2 linked regions of the Alligator mississippiensis genome follow. Each later gene encodes a partner of the first gene's protein in a complex. Links are inferred from orthologs where the notes say so. Each region holds a gene or a part of one and is shown in the gene's direction. Other genes may lie near its edges. The genes, in order: ACVR2B and GDF2.

Region 1 (10,858 bases):
AGTATTAGCTGTACATATTTAGCCATCTTCTGCTACCATTTTAAATTCCTCATGTATGTACAGGTTTAGAGTTCTTTGGCAAACCCCTTTTTCCATTGGTTTATAATTTGGGCATAGCTATCAAGTGTATTCATACAACCAACCTGTCAGACCAACCTGGTGGCCTTCTATGACCAGGTCACAAAATCCTTAGACGCAGAGGCAGCAGTGGACGTAGTCTTTCTGGACTTCAGGAAGGCCTTCAACACTGTCTCTCACCCCATTCTCATTAAAAAACTAGGGGACTGCGGCGTCGACACCTACACAGTCAAGTGGGTCACTAACTGGCTGGAGGGCTGCACCCAGAGAGTGGTGGTGGATGGGTCATTTTCAATCTGGAGGGATGTGGGCAGTGGGGTCCCCCAGGGCTCGGTCCTTGGACCCGCACTGCTCAAAATCTTCATCAGTGACTTGGACGAGGGGGTAAAAAGCACCCTATTCAAATTTGCTGACGACACTAAGATGTGGGGGGATGTGAGCACGCTAGAAGGGAGGAATAGGCTGCAATTGGACCTGGACAGGTTACAGGGGTGGGCAGATGAGAACAGGATGGGTTTCAACACTGACAAGTGCAAGGTGCTGCACCTGGGGAGGAAGAACCAGCAGCATACCTACAGGCTGGGGAACTCCCTTCTAGTCAGTGCAGAGGCAGAAAAGGATCTTGGAGTCATTATTGATGCCAAAACGAACATGGGCCGTCAGTGTGGGGATGCGGTCAGGAAGGCTAACCACACCTTGTCATGCATCTACAGGTGCACCTCAAGCAGGTCCAAGGAGGTGATCCTCCCCCTCTATGCGACACTGGTCAGGCCGCAGTTGGAGTACTGCATCCAGTTCTGGGCGCCGCACTTCAGGAGGGATGTGGACAACATGGAGAGGGTCCAGAGGAGGGCCATCCACATGATCAGGGGACAGCAGGGCAGGCCCTACGAGGAGAGGCTACGGGACCTGAACCTGTTCAGCCTCCACAAGAGAAGGCTGAGGGGGGATCTAGTGGCCTGTTACAAACTACTCAGAGGGGACCAGCAGGCATTGGGGGGAGTCCCTGTTCCCCCGAGCACTACCAGGAGTGACTAGAAATAACGGTCACAAGCTGGCAGGGGGTAGATTCAGACTAGATATCAGGAGTCGCTACTTCACTGTCAGGGTGGCTAGGATCTGGAACCAACTTCCAAGTGAAGTGGTGCCGGCTCCTACCCTGGGGGTCTTTAAGAGGAGGCTGGATGAACACCTTGCTGGGGTCGTTTGACCCCAGTACTTTTTCCTGCCATGGCAGGGGGTCAGACTTGATGATCTGCTCAGGTCCCTTCCGACCCTACCAGCTATGAAACTATGAAACTATGAAACTTTTTTTAAAAATTATGGCTGTGCACAAGAACCTCAAATGTTCCCTCTTTCAGACCTTCTTGTATGTTGGCTCAATAATATGGGAAGGGGTTAATTACACTCGCCCCTTTTTATCCAGTTTGCATTGTTGTGCAATATATATTTTGAACCAGGTACAAAGAAGTTGAAGGGCATTTTTAGAATGATTTCTGATCAGGAACTGCAGTTGCGAAGGTTAACTTAGCGCAAGCTGCATCTAGCCAGAGTTTGCTGTCTGAGGGCCTCACTACCAACCTGTTGCAGGTAATGGGAGTTTTGCTTTATATTGACTCAGATGGTCAGAAGCTCCTTCTGATTTTTAAATGAGTAGTCTTACAACCTGGAATGAAACTATACTGAACTAAAACTTAAATCCAAGTTCAAGCAATTAAAGCAGAACTCTCTCCTTCTCAGCAGGTTCATGCTTCATACATAACACATTTTTTATTCCAGTAGAAATTGTTTTATTCCCCAAGCAAGTGACAGTTCCTAATTTCACATGGACTACAACTAAGTTCGAAGGTGTGAGATGGCAATGGAACTTTTTTGGGGTATGAACAACCAAAATACTGTTGTCATGTCTTCACTGTTAATATGCCTGGGTCTGGGACCATATTGTCCCACATACCACACCCCCCCAAAAAAGACATGTACCTTATTTTGGGAAGGCAGAATGAAGAAAAAAACATTCTTCCAGAGTTATGACCACAGACACAGGGAAAGCTGCCTCACCTACCCTTTCCTGTTCGGGCAAAAGCTACAGTTTTAACCCTTTCACAGCTGGATTGTCAGTGGCTCTTGGCTGCTTAAGCAAAAGCTGAAACTGTAGCTGCTGCTGAAGACTGGACTCCATGAGCAGATCTAGGATTTTGAAAAGCGCTAAAAACCATCTTCAGGGCTGTGAAACAGGAGAAGAAAGGCTATCTTAATTAATGGAACATCAAGACCATTAAGAAGGAGAGAGAATTGTTAACACCTGTTGAATGGAGAGCAATTAACAGAAATCAAGTAGATTATAATGAACCATGAAGTCAATTGACTCCTTCAGCCCTGCCTGAATAGAAATGCCACTGCTGCTATTCTGAGCAGATCACCTTTCCCACTTAGGACACGCACCGTAATTTTCAATGACTAGTTTTTGGGGGAAATGTGTTTGTGGTATGTGAGTAAAGATGGTATTTTGCTGCTTTACTATATCAATGTGTATGCTAGAAAGATGGAGCATTATTACAACATTTGTAGTCCCAAAGCATAAAACAGTTTCAGCTGACTAAAGTTTACATACCTCAGTGTTTCTTGCTAGGATAAATAAATCAGTTAAAAATAAACCAAACCATGCAGTCCTCAATCTGGCAATTATAACTGCATGAGGAGATCTGGGATTCCCATTGATATCTGTGGGGTTCCACTTGGCAAAAGACTCCAACTAGATGGATTTAATTTTGGGAATTAAATATTTGTAAGCAAGGTGGGGTTTTGTTTGTGCGCTTGCTTGTTTTTTACTATTGGATTAGGAGAGGGAAAACAGTTTAAAATGAGCTGGTACTTTCACTATAAAGTCTTGATTAAAGCACTGCACAATACTATCAACTCGATACCCCTAGACCTCTTTTGTATCAGGACTTTGGTAACCTCCAGAGAACGGCAGAAAATATAAAAATGTCCTGCTGCTGAGGTTAGTGACAATCTTGAGTGAATGTTAATTTTCTTAAGGAAACAAGTTGCAAGTTTAGAAAAGAGTTTATCTTTGTATGATGATACATGCTCAAATATGAAACAGTGTAATAAAGCTGTACTGTGGTGTCTGCCTGACACACTGACTCTTGGGGTACTTCTCTAAGTGTGAAGCCAAAGAGGCTTGAATCTCCATTGGTTTGCACATTGCATTGTCATTGTGTAAAGTAAGATCAGTGCACAAAGTGCAAGGCAGTGAAGAAGGGAGTATATTTGGTGCTAACTGTATCTTGCAGGGGAGCCTGGGACCCTGGAGGTTTGAGACTCATGGCAGTGTTGAGTGGTTGGAGCAGTGGATGGGGATTCAGGACCTCTGGTTCTATTTTTAACTTATTCAGTGGCAATAAGTGACTCACCTAATCCCTCCTGGCCTCTTTTTTCTCACAAGTGGGTTGTGTAGCTTAACCGATGAATGTAGTTTGAGATCCTTATATGCAAAGAGCAAGCTTATGCCAGTTTCTGTGGGATTGTGCTTGAAGTGGCTGTATGTAAGAACGTGGTTGCCAGCGAGACTGTAAGATTGGATACAAGAGAACTGGTTCTCTGTGTGAGCTGCCCGTACGAGCGGCTTGTGTATTAGTCATGAATAGCTCCGACACATTTAAAAATGCAGGCTTGCAGTCATAGAGATTTGCTGCTTAAAGAGGACCTGGACTTGTAGGCTCATGTTGGTAAGCATTCAGGAATCCTGATATAGCTGCACCCCTTTTTGTGAATGCAGGTTTTGAATTGAGGTGAAAAGAAGAGAATGCTTCCAAGGCACCTCTGCAAACATGCTACCCCATGTAAGGAGATGCTGTTCCTAGTAGACTGGGAGATGTTCACTATCTAATAGCATATACTCCTGAGCTTGTTTCTCCCTCTGCAAGGCTCAAATATGCCAATGTGCCCTGCCAAACCCACTCAGCTGGACTCCTCGACCAGGGAATTAAAATGTGGTGGCATCTCCAAAATACCAGCCCTTCACGGGCATCCAAATCAGATTTCCCTCAGAGTAAGTTGCGTAGATCTGCGACCCTACCTCCCCTTTCTGAGGTAAGGGGTTAAACAATTCATGATGCTGACAATAAATCATCATCGTGGAGATGCATGCAGAAGTTCATACCTCTCAGAACTGTTGTCCCAAACTGCTTCATTGCTGCATACAGTTCATATTTTTAAAGCTTTTTTTTTTCACAACCGTAACAGCTAGAAGCTCACTTAAACAGCGAAGCTGTGCATTCGTAGAATAAGTTATTTTCAGGGACATGTTGGCATGACTTATGGGCATGTTCTGGTTGCTTCCGAGCACTGTGCTGTCTAGATATGATGGTGTATACTCTGTTTTCTTTGTAGAAATGGTACATCTCATTTTAGCTAATTGTAGGTGGGGTGGCAGGGAAATGAAATATTGGACGATATTTTGCTGGTTTATGCATTCCTCCATCTCTTTCTCTGTCTCCCTCAAGTTTTTAAAAATGGGACATACTCCTTGATTTTGTAACCAATGTAGGCTTTGAGGCCACTTATCTGTTGTCACCCCTCCAACCCTCCAGCAACCGAGCGCTACTTTGTATTGCTCCCACAGGGGGCCAGGTCTCATCTCCTCAGAAGCTGCATTGCAAATAAGTCTCCAATTCCCTCATTCGTGGCCCATCTCCATGGCTCATTCAAGGGAGTTATTTACAATGATAAAAATCCATCACTGCTACCTCCTGATTAACCACGTTACATCTCCAAGATTAATAGTCCAAGCCTAGAAACCACCACTGCTCCCCTTGTTCATTTTCTATGACAGATGCAGCCTTCTCCTAACTCTCTCTTCCTTATATTTCCTGATTTGGCCAGGTAGTAAACCTTACCAGGTAACCCCATCAACAACTCTGTCCCCTAGAAACATTTTTAGCATGTGCTGTCTGCTCTGCAGGAGTGTTTTCTTTCAAGAGCATTGTCTTTGCTTCTTGCACAGTGCTTCCATGAGCTTCATAAAGGTGCTTTCCATTTCATCCGTGCCAACTGCCCTGCCTTGACTGTAATGTTTCTGAAAGTTTATTTAAAAACACAACTGCTTTACACTCTCAAGTGCATTCTGCTTTCCTAATCAAGTCACAAGGATTGCTTGTTTATATGAAGCTCCTTATTGCGTGTGTTGAATTAGTATCTTTACAGACTAGGATACTGTTGTGCCAGGTGCTGTACATGTAGAGAATAGCAGCATCGTTTATGCCCCAGGGAGAAAAGCTTTCCAAGACTGCCTCAGGGGTTTAGGTTGTAAACCTTTCCAAGACTGCCTCTGCAATCCAGTAAAAACAGGTGTATTTCTTTTTGGAACAAAATGCTCACATTTTTTTAAAGGAATGATTCATAGTTACTCTTATCTCCTTCCATAGCAAAGAGAAATGATTTATAAATATTTTCAGCTTCACTCCCCACTGGATAAATTAATGAGCTGACCTGCACTTTGCTGCTCTCCATGCTAAGCCCTGTTGGCGTTCGGAGCGTGATGAAGCACTCCGTCTCCTCAGATCGCTCAGTGGGCTTATCAAACTGAAAACCTCAGGCAAGCTTGAACTTTGGCGTCTCCCTTTCCTCTGGTTCAAAACTTAGGAGCGGCTTAATGCTGTGCCATGGGATAGTGCCAAAGGATCCAAGAACAATTTGCTTCCTTGTGTCTGGTTCAGAACAGCGACTTCTAGGAGACTAAGGAAAGCTATGAAGGCGATTCCCAATTCCCTGCAGAACTCCTGCCCGCCGTCTTTGCCGGCTCTACTCCACCCTCAACCTTCTTACGACACGGTTAGCAAAAGTTAAAACGTCTTATTTCACGGTTAAAAAAAAAAAGTATAACGAGCCTAAAATACAGAAGTGACACTACACGATTTGGACTCTTTGCTCTGGGATCGTACAGCACCAAACGCGCCGAGGTCCCGGTTCAGGATTAGGGGCTCCTAAGCAGCACCTCAACACGGCGGTTCACAAGTCGGCAGGGACTGGATTTTCCGAAGCCTCTCGCCTCGCACGGAAATCAGGAGGCGTTTCGGCACGGGGCTGGGTCGCTGCAACAGAGGGGGACGGAGACGGACCGCCGTGCCCCTCGAACTCTCTGTGCGAGGTGTCCTTTCTGAACCCGGCCCTCGCCAGTGTACGGCTTCACGGCCTGGCACCCCCTTTGCCACCTCTTCCCCACCCGGCTTGGGGTGGGCGCGGGTTCCCCCTCCTCCCTGCCCCTGCAGCTCTCTCCAGGGGGCTGCTCAGCCCCTCACCCTCTCCCCCCGTCAGCGGGGGCTCTGCCCCCTCAGCACCAGCCCAGGCCGCGGGCAGCTGCGGCCTCGCGCCTCCCGGCCCTGCGCACAGCCGGCCCCGCGCCCCTCCCCGGCTCCCTTTGTAGCAAACATCCGGGCTTCCCCCGCTGGCTCCGCTCCCGCTTCTCCCTTCTTTTTTTTTTTTTTTTTTCCTTCTTCCAAGAAGCCATTTTGGACGCCGTTCAGGCTTTTTTGTGTGTGTGTGTGTGTGTGCGTGTGCGTGTGTGGCGGCGGCGGCGGCGGCGGGGGCGGCTCGCGGCCCCTGCACGCCCTCGCCCCGCGCCATGCCTCGGCCCCCGCGCCGCTCCCGGCCCCTGCGGCCGCCGCCCGCCTCCCCGCGGCTGCCGGGCTCCGCCACGCTGCAAAGTTGGGGGTAGGGGGTGGAGGGGACTCGCCGCGCCGCGCCGCTCCTGCCGCCGCCCCCCGCTTCGCATTGTGCTGCGCGCGTGTGAGCCAGCGAGTGTGTCCCGGGCCGGCGGGAGGAGGGAGGCGTGTGCGTGTGAGTGTGCGGGTGAGTGTGCGTGTGCGCGCACGCACAAAAGCCGAGGCACAAAAAAAAAGAGAAAAAAAAAAAAAAGAAAAAGAAACTCTTGGAAAGCCGGGAGCAGCCGGAGCCGGAGCCGCCTCCATCGGATCCCCGGGGCAGCGGTGCAGGAATTCAAGCTGTTTTGTTTTTTTTTGGTGGGGTTTTTTTGGGGGTCCCCCCCCATCGCATCGCCTCGAGGATCCTGGGGGTTTGGGGGCATCCTTTCTTCTTCTTTTTTATGCTGCTCCTGCTTTTGGGCGGCCGAGGCTCGCGCTCCCCCGCCGGCCGCCCGCGGCTCCCCCGGGGGCCCCCGGCGGGCAGGCGCCGGGCCAGGAGGATGATCGCGCCCTGGGTGACTTTCGCCCTGCTCTGCGGAACTTTGTGCGCAGGTAAGGACGGGGCCGGGGCCGGGGCCGGGGCCAAGCCCGCCCGGGGCTCGGAAACTTCCCGGGCTCGGGGCTGCATTGTCCGGCCTCCGGAGCCGGTGGGTTGCTCTGCCCCTGCAGCTGCCGGGCGTGTGTGTGCGTCCCGCGAAATGTTATGATCCCATAGGGTTTTTATTATTACTATTATTATTATTATTTCACCCCCCATTTCTATTTTTATAAGATGACTCATTTGCTCTGATTTGTGCCAGGCTGATGGAGCGGGTAGAAAGTTGTGCGGGCGCGGAGGGGAGACGGGGCAGGGCAGGGCAGGGCAGGGGGGCTGGTTTAACACCCCGCCACCCCCGGGTGATTTGAAACCCGAGCGCGGGGCGGGCAGGGACCTTGCCTGCCGCGATGGAAGTTCATGTAAACACCGGCGCGGCTCAGGGGCAGGAGGAGAAGGCCACGCTGCTCAGGGATCCTGGCCAAGGTTTGGGACGAGCCCTTGGGTGCTGGCTTTGTGCACCGGGGGGAGGAAAGGAGGTGGTTTTTTTAGCTGGAGCCGAGTCCCGGCCGCTTTGTTGTGCGCTTCCCTCCGTGCCTGCATGGGGAGAGACCTCCCCCCTCCGGGCGGATTGCAGCGCCCACAACAACACGGCTCGTGAGCCTCATGGCTGTTGACGTCCTGGGTCTCGGAAGGAAAAATGCAATGACTTTAAAGTCACTTGCTCCCCCTCCTCCTCCATCACAACATCATCCCCCCCCCTCTTTTTCTTCCAGGGATTTCTATTTTGCAAGGGGAGGGGATGAATTTTCACAGGGCTTTCATTTCATGTGTGCTCCCCCCCAAAAAAACCCCCACAAAAGGCTCCCCCTCCCCTTCCTGGCTTGGTCTTGATTTGATCACCTCTGGCCCTCTGCTAGAGGAAGGGCTGCACGGTCACTTGTTATTTTGTCTCCATTTCCAAGCAGGGTGGTGGTGGTGGGTTTTATTTTGGGGTGTGCACAGAGGCTCACAATAGATGGTTGGAAGGAGGGGTGCTGCAATTGTGCCCTTCCCCGGCTCTGTGCAGGGTGGGGAATGCAGCCTGCTGCTTTCAAATCTTTATTTATTTATTTATTTTTAAATCCAGGGGCACACACAGCAGGCAGGGACACCCCCCCCCCCTTTGTTGCCTGGTTTCCCAGGGGATCCTGGCCCCAGGAGCATCCCCCGGGCTTGCAGGGGGAACCCGGGGGCGGGTTTGTTTTGGAATGTGCTGCGCGCTGAAGGCTGCCAGGCTGGCGCTGGCGTTTCTTTGTTCCCAGTGCCCATTGAATGTGCGGTGCCATCGCCTGCACCCTGTACCATAAACAATGCCTTCTCTCAATGGTTTGAAAGTCGCACCAAAGGTTCTGATGATGCTTGTGTTGGGGAGAGGAAGCAGAAGGACAAACAAAAAAGATGATGATTTGGTGGCGATCGAGCCAGCCAGGGCATTTATGGAACGGATGGGACACTTGTGTGTACAGCTTTGTTTCCTTGTGTTGCAAGGGGGGTGTGAGCGAGCACATTGACGGCAGCGCTGAGTAGGAGCAGGTATTTAGGAAGCAGCCGGATGGCTGGGACAATGGTGTGCCAGCGTGTGCCATCAGGCTTCGGGATTTCTGCGATCGCAGCATCGCTGTCGGCTGGGAAATTCTATTTTGTGCACCGAGGAGATTTATACTCTTTTGAACCTGTTCTTGTTGTGGACCTTTTTGACTCCTTTTAAACTGTGGGGCTCACAAACGGGGGCCGTGTCTGCTCCTAGCATTGCTTCTAGTGACAGAAATATCAGAATAAAAACAAACAGCAAAAGGAAGTTTCTTTAAAAAAAATAAAATAAAATTGACTCTGAAATTTGCCAAGTGCATCAGGTTATTTAAAAAAAAAAAAAAAAGGGAGAATCTAGTAGGATATGATCACCCGGACTCTCCCCCCCGCCCCCCTTGCAATATTAACACAAAAACAGACAGTGTGTGTGTATGTTTGCTTTGAAAGCTCTCTGTGGATCATCAACTTGGAACTTGAGAGTTGTAAATCTCTTTTCATATTTTATCTTTCCCATTTCTTATATTTGGGAATGTATTTAGCCACATGAACCTGTTGCCTGTGCAGTGTTCCTTTTTCTCGTTGAGGTTTAGGAAAAAAAGTTGCAACATGTTGCTTAGGATTCACAGCTCCCCTGCCTTGCAGGAAATATTTCTTGTGTGTGTTATATTTTAGGACCGTGCAAAAGCGGTGGGGCTTTTTAAAACCAGCCCAACCTCCATTGTTGATGGTTTTCAGTACTACCTTGGGTGACTGCAATAAAATAAGCACAGACTGCGGATTTTTTTTAAATATCCGTCATGTGTCTAACTTTTGGAATACCGAATATTTGTTGAGGAAAACATTATGTTCAATTTTTGCCTTTTGTTTGAAAAATCTCGGCAACCCAAATGTTGAGAAATTGTGTTGTAATCTGTGAAATTTAGAGAATGCAGAAGGTGTAAGAGGGTTTGTTTTGCAAAACACATTGCGAACACATTTTGTTGAAACATTACAGTATTTAAACTTGCACCAAAATAAAGTACCACCAGGCAGCAATGAATTGAACATCAGATGGATCTAGGCTCCTCTTTCAGGATGGTGTATTTATTCTCTTCTGCTTGAGAAGGGGACTGGATTCATTAGCTTGCTAATTAAACACAATGAAATGCCTGGCCCAAGGTTAATGGCAATAGCCTTTAAAAAGACAAAACTCTTGAACCTGGTGTCCAGGGTGTGTGTGTGTGTGTATAACAACTTACATAAATACAGTGCGTGTGTATGTATATACATATGTTTATGTGTAAATATGTATGTATAACAACTTGTGTATATATACGCGCGTGCACACATGCTAGATAATGATGCTTCTCGCTAGGACTGAGACAGTGTTAAGGGTTTATTGCTGTATAAATGCATTATTCTTAGCGGTGATACAGAAAGCTCTCAGTATCGTATGCAGGTTGTGGTTTTTTTAAGGGGAAAACAAAGCATCTTATTATGTCTTCCTTGCTGTGGTGGGAGAGAGTATGTGTTTATTAGGCCGAGTTAAAAATCCAGGTTCCCTAGAACAATTAAGGAGTCTAGGGCAAACCCTGCCATCCAGCTGAAGTATTTATACACTGAAATGTGTGCCATTTTCGTGTGTCTTTGAGCAGCCTATCCAGGCACTATCACTTTCCTTACTATCTCATCAACTGAACAGAAACAGCCAATTAAAGCCGAGCTCTTGCAGTACCCACAGTCTTGGCTGTCACCACCCTCCTTTCCACTCTGTTCTCCATCAGCAAAGACATGCCTGTCGTTTTTTTTGTGGTTTAGATGATGCAACAGGCCTATACCTCCCCTGCTCCCACTGCATAGATGCTTCAGAAGAAGGAAATAAGCCCACCTCTTTTTTGTTGTTGTTATTGCTTCTATTTCTGTCTCCCTTTCTGTCCAGCCTGGACAAAATGCACAGCTTGCCCAGCATGGTGATTCAGTGGTCAATTCA
Region 2 (10,009 bases), on another chromosome or scaffold:
TATAGATGTGACCAGACAAGACCAAACAGATTAGTGAAGACTAGGAGGAGGAAGGGAAGTAATCTTAACCATGGCTTTTGCTTCATGAGTCCGCAGAGAGCGGGTCACAACTTCAGTGCTCTCCACCTGTGTAAGCTAAGGAGTCTAGCCCTATGACTGATTGATGCCTCCCAGGCAGGAGTACAGAGAACATGAAGGATTCTGTACTTTACTCCCCTGGGGTTCAAGTGCATGGGGGAAGACATGGGTTATTCCTGTATTTTCACTTTTTTAAAAAAACCTTATCTACAATCATTTTCTAAGCCCATTTGGGAAAGTGATTTCCTGTAAGTGAAACAGCAATTATTTCTTCCTTTGTTCCAGATTGTCCGGCCATCGAATCATGCTACAATCCAGAGCATTGTAAAAGCAGTAGGAATCATTCCAGGCATTCCAGAACCCTGCTGCGTTCCTGACAAAATGAACTCCCTCAGCGTCCTGTTCTTAGACGAAAACAAAAACGTCGTTTTAAAGGTATATCCCAATATGTCTGTTGAGACCTGTGCCTGCCGATAAGTCTTTACAAATAAACCTTCAATACAACCAACACATTCTGCTTGACTACACTGGGAAAGTTGTGAATGGGAAATGACTTAGATTGTGTTTGTGAATGAATCCAAACCCACATCTCCTTCTACAGAAAGAATGCAGAGACACTATAGCAGCACACGTGCTCACCTCTAAGGACCTTAAATTTCATCATTTGTCTTGTAATGTAACAATGATTCACCTTCCAGAAATCCCAGACTTTTCAAATCTATTTTAACCCATCTAGCTAAGAAATCTGATCGTTTTTACTTAAGTTTACCGTAACTGGAGGACTAAAATACATTTTTATATACTATTTTCCTGGCTATTTTACTTTTCAGCTAACCAAGAAGATGGGAACGGACTTTGCAAAAGCAAGAGTATTTTAGAATATTGCTTTTTTACACAAATCAAATCTTTTTGCCTAAAATTCATACCTTTAGTCCACATATTTATACTGAAAAAATGCTGTAATAAAAGGGCTTAATATACATATTTTTCTTCAGGATTCAAATGTAGTGCACTGTATAAGCTTTTATATATTCAGTATATTAATATAACTATTTTTGGTTACCTTTCCATAATATATACTTTGTTTTACAAAAGATGTAACACTATCCCACCGTCATTTCTGTGCTGGTTAATTTCAGGTTCTTAAACATATGTATTCTCTGAATAACACATACTATATAGTAATATGTTTAAATACTAAAAAATAACCAAGATTTATATTTTTGTAAATTATACTTTATATCCTTTAGGTTGCTTTTAACAAAAGCTAATAAATTAAGGTACAGTAGTATTTAAAAATAGTTGAAATGTCTTTCTATAAATACACATTGTTGTATTCTGTTAATTAGAGGAAAAGCAATGCTATCTTATTTGGAATGTCCAGGCTATGCTTGTCACAATATAATTTATAGATTAAAGCCAGAAGGGACTACTATGATCATCTAGTCTGACCTCTTGCATAATACAGGCCAAAGAACCTCACCCAGTAACTTCTGTATCAAGCATAAAGTCACAGCACCCTGGTTGAAAATTGCTGCCTAGTTTGGGAATCTTGATATGGCTTAGGTGGGCCAAGTGCTGAACTGTTCAGTCCCATCATGATAAAACTGCTTCAGGGCATGTCCAGAAGCAGAACTTTAAGTACCTGAACTTTAGTTCTCTACATCTAGAATATAAGTGATTCCAGGGTTCGGTGACAGCTGAGCAAATGCTTTGAGGTTCTAAGTTTTAGACTCACATATCAAGACTCACCTAAATCACATTTTAGACACCTAGCTCCTTTTATGGTCCTAGCTTTTATGTGCCTCCACTCTCTACCTGTAAAATGGTGGTAATAACACTATCATACTTCATATAAGTGTTGTTAGCAATATTAAAAAATAGTATGTTAATCTTATGGAGAGTCAAACCACTCACCTTAAAATAGAAGGTTAAAAACAAAAGCATTTTGCTTAACATGAGCATCTCATGCATTCTTTGGTGCCGATAGGGTCTGATTCTTTTTTCACTGTTATAAATATGGAAGAATTTCATTAAAGTTGATGGAGTTACATAAGTGTAAACAAGACGAGAACCAGACCCATAATATATGATGCAATAGCTATACCTGAGTTACAGCTTAGAGTGTAGACCTTTTTTGCAATTTAAAAAAAATATATTAAACCATTGCCTATACTGTCCTAAACAAATACTCATCTTTTCCCACAGACATGGCCTTGTTCCCATTTAACATCTGGCTAGAATGACACGTTGGTCTAGTGTATTTATGTTCTGGTCTATTACATTTTGTTTTCCTTAGGGAGCCTATTTTACATCCTGAACTGTTCCTTGGTCACAGACTTGCTTTCCAAGTCATGATGATGCAGGTGACTAGGAGAAGGAAACACAAATCTTTGATTCAATATGTTTGTAGGTAAAAGTCCCTCTTCTGTACACAGCGAGGGTACTTTAAAGAACATGGTCAACACTTAAAATTTTTGCTGGCATAGCTGTCAGCTAGATTGCAGAAAAAAAAATCACACCTCAGACTGATGCAGCTGTGCTTGCAAACCTTTCTAATGGAGACACAGCTTATGTAGGCAAAAGAGTTCTTTTGCTGGTATAACTTATTTCATTTAAGGAAACAGAATGAGACATATCAGCGAAAGGACATTTTTCCTGCTATAATCTGAGTCTCTGCTTGGAAGACTGGGAAGGTTTTCTGTCAATAAAGCTATACCAGTCAATTTTATAGTGCAGAAAAGGCCTAGGCCAAGATTTTTCAAAAGCAATGATTGATTTAAGGAACTTTAATGTGTGGTTATCTTACCTGAGATACTTTAAAAGGGGCCTGTTCTTGAGCCAGTGTCTAGAACACATCCTATGAAAACCAGGATCCATAAGTTGTGTAAAGTTTGGAGTCCAAAATCACTTGGCATTTAGAAGGCTTGCCCTAGAATGTGGTGTTTCAGTTATTGCAGTGGGAAGGGGGTAGTTTGGAGATGGAGCATAAGAAAGAGCCTGTATCAGGGAAATACTTTCTCCAGAAGCTGATTCTAATATAATCTACTCCTATTGACTTCACTGGGAAATATATTTTCATAGAACCTCTGAACAAAAGGCTACATCAGGCCTAGGCTGAAGTTATACATTACATTTAGACCATACTAAATCTGTGGAATGTTAACCAATTTTAAAAACAGAATGTGCTGTAAGCAGTTACACATTATGAGTTAATACTGTTCCTTGCCTGCATAACTCTGACTTGACACTGGAGGGCTGGTGAGCAGGGCCATGAGAGCCAAGACACCTGGGGTCTATCCCCGTTCTGAGGATGCAAGGCAGCAGTGCATCCTGGGATGCTAGAGGACTCATTTTATCTCTGTGGAGCAGACTGAATTTACCCTAAATTTTTCTAAGTAGCATGGGCCAGAGTTAACCCTCTCCTGAAGTGGCATAATGTTGAGATGCTCAGAAGGCACTTAACTAGAATTAATGAGTTTTAACATGTGGATGCTCACTTTTTAAGTGTCCTTAGTATGATCTAAGTTTAACATGCACTTTGAAGGTAAATCAATGGCAAAAAGAGTGATGTTATTGCTAAATACAAACAGGTGAATAGTGAGTAGGAGCTGGGAGGTAATTTTACTTCTGTATACCGCACTGGTGGATGAACACTAGAATACTGTATACTGAACTAGTGTCCACATGTTAAAAAGGATATTGAACCACTGGAGACAATATAGAAAAGAGCAACAAAAATTATTTGATGGGTGGAGAAATCACCTTACAGAGAGAGACTCAGAGGGTGCCTCTAAACGTGCTCAGTAAAACATCACCATCTACACGTGTGGCAGTTAGGTCAATGTAGATTTATTTACTACACTCTCAGATAGTCCCATCTGACACAAGTACTATCTGAAGGTGGAATAAATTACTGTGCTTATGTGCATGTGTAGATGGTGATGTCAGGATTAGCTTACTCCAGCTCAAATTGTACCAAAGTTTATTCAGTCGCATTAATTGCATGTGTAGACATGCCAAGAGAATTCAATCAGAAAAAAAGTCTATGAGGTGACTTATTTATTATGTAAGTACCCTAATGACAAGAAAATACCATGCATGAAAAGGTGTTTTAATATAATACAGAAAGGCATAACAAGATCAAAGGCTAAAAGTTGAAGCAAGACAAATTTAAATTTTAAAGTAGGCACAATTTTTTTTTAAGTAATGACAATCACCCAGTGGAACAAAATCCCTAAGGAAGTGATGGATTCTCCATCTCTTAACTCAAGATTAGATGCCTTTTGGAAAGATGTGCCTTAGCCAAAAACAAGTTATGTTTTATTCGGACATAATTTACTTGGCTTAATACAGGGGGCAACGTCACTGAAATGTTATTCCCTGTGCTAAATGAGAGGTTAGACTTGATGAGCTCATGTCACATCTGGCCTTAAAAACTACAAGTCCAGAAAACAAGATTTGCATGTCACTGGAGAAGAATCATGTCACGGGATGGGGTCCTTAAGGATGGCCGTGTTCTCCTAAAGCCCCTTGACCATGCCAATGTGGCCCGATGGGCACCCTCAGTTCTCACTCCACGTCTTTGATGAAAAATATGAAAATAGGGAAGCTGCCTTTAAGTCCTCTTGGACACGGTTTGATGGACTTACTGAACCCTGTGGGTTCCCAGATCCCTTGTGGGTCTCGTTCCACAATGGGTGTTTCGGGGCACCCTAGCCTTATGGGCTATATGCATGGCTCCAACTGCCCTTTTACCATGCCCTAAGCCTCACAGATGGTGCTGGCATTGTCTTGCCTTGGCCTCATTATAATTTGGTCCCTTGTCCACATTGGGCTCTCCGCAGCCCTGTCTCTGCACCCTCTCTGGCGCCAGGGTCTCTGCACCCCAAATGCCACGCCCTTTCTGGCACCGGGGTCTCTGCACCCCCAAAAGCCGCGCCTCTGGTGCCGGGGTTTCTGCACCCCCAAATGCCACGCCGTCTCTGGCGCCGGGGTCTGTGCCCCCAGCAAATGCTGCACTCTCTCTGGTGTCAGGGTCTCCGCGCCCTAAATGCCACGCTCTCTCCAGCGCTGGGGTCTGTGCACCCCAAATACCGCACCCTCTCTGGCGCTGGAGTCTGTGCACCCCAAATGCCATGCCCTCTCTGGCGCTGGAGTCTGTGCCCCCACCAAATGCTGCGCCCTCTCTGGCACCAGGGTCTCCACTCTGTAGTGGGCCCCCAGTGAGGCCTCCTTCTTCCCCAAATAGCCTCACCCAAACCACCGGTCTTATAAAACTACAAACAAAACATAAGCCCCTGAGCTATAACTTAACATAGGCTACCAAAGGTGTGCTCTGCCCCTTTACCATTACCCAGAGCAGAGGTTAGTCAGGCCTCTTTCCTTTCTCATTCTAAGAGGGCTCCTTCCCCCTTAGCCACCAGCAGAGAACTGCCTCCCTTAGTTTCAGCCTGGGTTTATATGGGCCTAAGGCCCTGCCCCTTCCTGCCAGCTGACCAGGTACAGGTGCTGACTAATTTCCACCTTAGCCGGTTGCCATGGCAACCTGCATCTGGGCTCCTGCCTGGCTCTTTGGGCTCTCCCCAGGCAGTTCCTGCTTTTCCTGCTCTTCTAGGAGCAGGGCACCTTAGTGTCCTGTGACAAATCAGATAAAAGCAGAGTAAAGGAAGATATGCTCTGTAGGGTTGTGTGAAGCTTCAGCCCCTGATTCAGTTTGGTGGAGTTTTGGCCCGATTCGGTGGCCAAATCTTCAAATCCAAATTTAATCAGGAGACCCTTTAATCTCTCTGAATCAAATCGGAACCCTCCGAATCGATTCGGACAGATTCAGAAAGATTCAGAGATTTGGACATAGACACAGCTTTAAATGTTTTTTCTACAGACCTCAAGGTACCAGGCGGCTCATCAGCACTGTGATGGTGGGGCAGATGGAGCATCCCACAGGAGTGCAGGGGGGTCCCCAGAGTGCTCAGCAGTAGACCCGGAAGTGGACCAGAAGGACTTCCAGTCCACTTCCAGATCCACTGGGGAGATGCTGCCTCCCCCTCCCACCCCCACCCCATGCTCCCGCTTGGCTCAGCAACTGGTGCCTCCTGAGTCTGGAGGGTCCCCCCGTGACTGATTGCCGAGATGGGGAGTGCAGGGGGGGCCCCCAGCGTGCTCCCTGGCAGACCCGGAAGTGGACCAGAAGCATTTCCGGTCCACTTCCAGGTTTGCTGCCGAGCACGTGGGGGACCCCTGTGCTCCTGTGGGATGCTCCATCTGCCCAACCATTGCAGCATTGATGAGCCACCTGGTACCTTGAGGTCTGTAGAAAAAACATTTAAAGCTGTGTCTATGTCCAAATCGTAGATTCTCCGAATCAGCATCAAATCTTCAGATTCAGATTCGGCCAAATTGGGGACAGTGATCCGAATTAACGAATTGAATCACTGTCCTGATTCGGGCCAATCCAAATAGAATACAGCCCATTTCACATACCCCTAATGCTTTGCTAAAAAACTGGAAAAGAATGACTAGGGATAAAATTTAGCGGTAATTTTGCGTAGGTGTTTTGAGCTCTCCTAGTATCAATGAGATGGTATGGCATCCACGCATGCTACAGGTTAATTTCTACTTTAAAAAATCATACAAAGGCAGTTTAAGTAAACTGGTTGTATAATATTAGATTAGATCATTTAGGATGGTTAAGTTCAATCAAATTAAATATCAAATCATAATATGCTATATAGATAACTAGTTTAACTTCCTGAGATACAAAAAACACAACTAACGAATCTCACTTCTTTTACTTTGGCCCAGATCTATATGGAAAACAATAACATCCATGGATAATCTTCGTTACAGTCATAGAAACCATTTACTTTCTACATTGGTTTAGTAGGCTGAGTTTTATCTTCACTTTGAGATCACTTAGGCAATAACTGGTTGTTCTTGGACCAACTTAGCCAACCTCGTGTGCATGAATCTAAGAAAATACATTACATAACGTGCTATAAAGTCACACTGTTTTTCTCCATGCATCAAAGGATGCACACTGAAAATAGAAAATCTACAAACAACTTGAAGCAAACTTGATACAAAACAGATATTTCACTGTGTACAAATAATAGCTCTCAGCTGATAAAAAGAAGGAAATTTTAAGGTTGTGTGCAATGTTGTGAGATCATGTGTTGCAAGAGCACAGAGTTCTACCAGAAGAGTGATTTTGGATCAATAAATTAAGGGACTGGGGTAAATATCTGAGGGCAATGTTTGCTAACTGCTAATGAAACATTTTGTTCTTAACCCCCACCCCTCTTTTCAGCTTTTGTAGTTCCTTAGGGAAACACAATTTTATTCTCCACCCCCAAAATGCTTCTCTTTAGACCTCTCCCTGTTGGCAAGGAAATGATAAAAAACATAATTAAGCAATGATGACCCTGAAGTGAAATGTGGATTCTTTACAGTATGCAGTGTCCTTCCCATAAGCCATATGTGTTTGTCAGATGTTTATAGAATCTTCATTAACTAAGAGCTTTGCTAGATAACAGAAGCTGAAGCATGGCATCAATGGCTAAGATAAGGGCAAGTGTACAACCAATCTGCTTGACAACTGACAAGAGGCTGTGGTTTGAAGCAGGCTGCAAAAGAGCTCAAGAAAGTGATTTGCAAAGGGCATTTCAGTTGTTTGCCTTCTGTTTCCCTTTCTTCTGGCTCTAATCAGACGAGTTCCAGTCAACTGGAATAGCCCTGTCTTTTCTTCACCATTGGAAAGTGAGCATAGGGAAAATGAACTATTTGGGGACATTTGCTGCATTGTCCATTTTCAACATCATTGCTTGTTTGACAAGAGGCAAACCCTTGGAAGAAAGAAGCAAGTTATCAGTTACGGAGGATTCTGATATATACTTTGGTGAGCTGGGAGAGATGGAAGGTGAGACGCATCTCAATTTTAGAAGCCTACTGGAGAACATGAAGGCAGATTTACTGAGGAGTTTGAACTTATCTAGGGTTCCTTCACAAGAGAGGACCAAAGAAGAACCACCGCAATTCATGATTGATTTGTACAACAGATATGCCATGGACAAGTCTTCCATCCCTGCATCCAACATTGTGCGGAGCTTCAGTACTGAAGGTATGACATCTTAAATACAGACAGGAATTTACAAGGCAGTCTGTGAGTTGGGTATTAAGTTCCTATTGAAATTCGGGGGAAGCTTCATACCTAACTCCCATAGGCTCCTTAGACCAATCCCAGCCCTGGTCTGTTTTGTAGTTCTTTCTTCTGCTCCTTATTTTCTTTTGGTCTACATGAAACATAATGGCTTTTAGTTCTTTTCTTTGATTTCACATTGTACAATCTCTCCTTCTCATACTGAATCAGATGAGGCACCACATCTATAAAATTGAGGGTTATTTTGTTATCTGTCTCAAAGCTAGAGAATTAGGGCTGAGTTGAAAAATTTGGAGCTATACGTGAGGCATCAACATAAAACCATAGGGTTGGAAGGGACCCCATGAATCCCCTCATCCAACCCTCTGCATAGATGCTGGGTATGTTTATTTCTAAACCACCCCAGACAAATGTCTATCTAGCCTCTTAATGAAAAACCTCCAATGCAGGAGTTTACGTAGCTTTCCTAGACAGCTTGTTCTGTTTTCCTTTGTTTCTTACTTTTAGGAAGCCTTTTTTCTAAGATTTAATTTAAAACTGCTTTGCTGCAATAAACCCACTGTCTTGTGTCCTGCCCTCTGTGACAATGGAGAACACTTTTTATCCCTCTTAGGTTAGTGCAGCCTTTCACATTTTTTAAAACTGCTATCCCTTCTTATGGAACAACTGTTTGCAGTGTTCCTCCCATACTTTATCAGGAGAAAAGCCAAGTAAAAAACATAGCTTGGGATTTGAACTAGGGTCACCACTCCTCACTCCCAAAGTTCTGGAGTGTTCGGATTGAGGGTTCTGGTTTGGGCCCGTCCCAGCTCAGCATATCAATAAAGTGTTGTCTGTGGAACATTTAAAAATAATAAAAGCTTAATTATTAGAAGCGATAAAAGGAGTGTTAAATGAATGTAATGATGGGGAAATGAAAAGGCCGAGGAGAATCAAATCTTCTCTAATTACAGAATAGACACTGCAACAACACTATAACCACCTTTATATTCCCTTATTAACGTGCTAACCCTGACCCACAAGTATGAGCTGGAGTACAGTTTCCAGGGCCCATTCTCTGCTCAGACTAGAGGTGACCATTTTTTGAACAGGCATGGAAATTTGTTCATAAAAACTGGACTAAAGTTCATCAGTTCATTTTACTTCAACCACCAAACAGCTATCAGATGAGACTAGAGGTGACCATTTTTTGAACAGGCATGGAAATTTGTTCATAAAAACTGGACTAAAGTTCATCAGTTCATTTTACTTCAACCACCAAACAGCTATCAGATGGTGGGAACTCTTAAACACTGCCAACCTTATCTTCCCAAAGTGCGTAATACCTATAGCCCCCTTGACTTCAGGAAAGATTGCTAGTTCTCTCTGCACTGCTGAAAAAAAAAGCAAACCCACCAATCTAATCAAGACATGAATCAGGGACATGGAAGGGAACTGTTCCTTATCTCATTACCAATCCTCCCAAAGTAATAAGACCCTGAAGCTTTTGGATTACCTCTTTTCCCTCATTCTCTTCCAATCTAAGCTGGTTTTTGTGCTAAGATATTAGGAAGACTTTTTTTTAATGTTACGATTTTATGCTAAGATATTGAAAAGAATTGAAAAGCTGGCACAAGGGCATATATATTTGCTATGTAATTTCTAAGAGGAATTTATCCTAATGCAAAATGATAGAGGCAGAGTTTGTACTTCAGTCTTCCAGTAGATTTTCAGCCTTAGTACAGGTAGTCCTCGGACTTACGACACAATTGGTTCCTGAAAACTGCATCTTAA

The links.
Region 2: the proteins of ACVR2B (region 1) and GDF2 are in contact, whole or in part, in a crystal structure (PDB 4FAO), measured with the Homo sapiens proteins. The link is inferred for Alligator mississippiensis from reciprocal best matches to the Homo sapiens genes ACVR2B and GDF2. Residues at the interface, in NP_001097.2 of Homo sapiens: Asn35, Glu39, Cys49, Glu50, Glu52, Lys55, Leu57, Tyr60, Ser62, Arg64, Val73, Lys74, Cys77, Trp78, Leu79, Asp81, Phe82, Asn83, Glu94, Gln98, Val99, Phe101; in NP_057288.1 of Homo sapiens: Arg333, Ile346, Ala347, Pro348, Lys349, Glu350, Tyr351, Glu352, Lys397, Ser399, Pro400, Ile401, Ser402, Val403, Leu404, Lys406, Gly410, Val411, Pro412, Thr413, Leu414, Tyr416, His417.

What each region holds. Positions count from the first base shown.
Region 1 is NC_081828.1:208,208,597-208,219,454, forward strand, and holds the start of ACVR2B (activin receptor type-2B), read left to right. Parts: upstream 1-6,631; 5' UTR 6,632-7,183; coding exon 7,184-7,334; intron 7,335-7,691; exon of another isoform or gene 7,692-7,727; coding exon of another isoform or gene 7,728-7,803; intron 7,804-10,858. UniProt on the Homo sapiens protein: Transmembrane serine/threonine kinase activin type-2 receptor forming an activin receptor complex with activin type-1 serine/threonine kinase receptors (ACVR1, ACVR1B or ACVR1c).
Region 2 is NC_081829.1:20,540,643-20,550,651, reverse strand, and holds the start of GDF2 (growth/differentiation factor 2), read left to right. Parts: upstream 1-5,975; 5' UTR 5,976-7,851; coding exon 7,852-8,197; intron 8,198-10,009. Other genes in the region: GDF10 (growth/differentiation factor 10), read left to right, coding at 364-555. UniProt on the Homo sapiens protein: Potent circulating inhibitor of angiogenesis. Signals through the type I activin receptor ACVRL1 but not other Alks. Signaling through SMAD1 in endothelial cells requires TGF-beta coreceptor endoglin/ENG.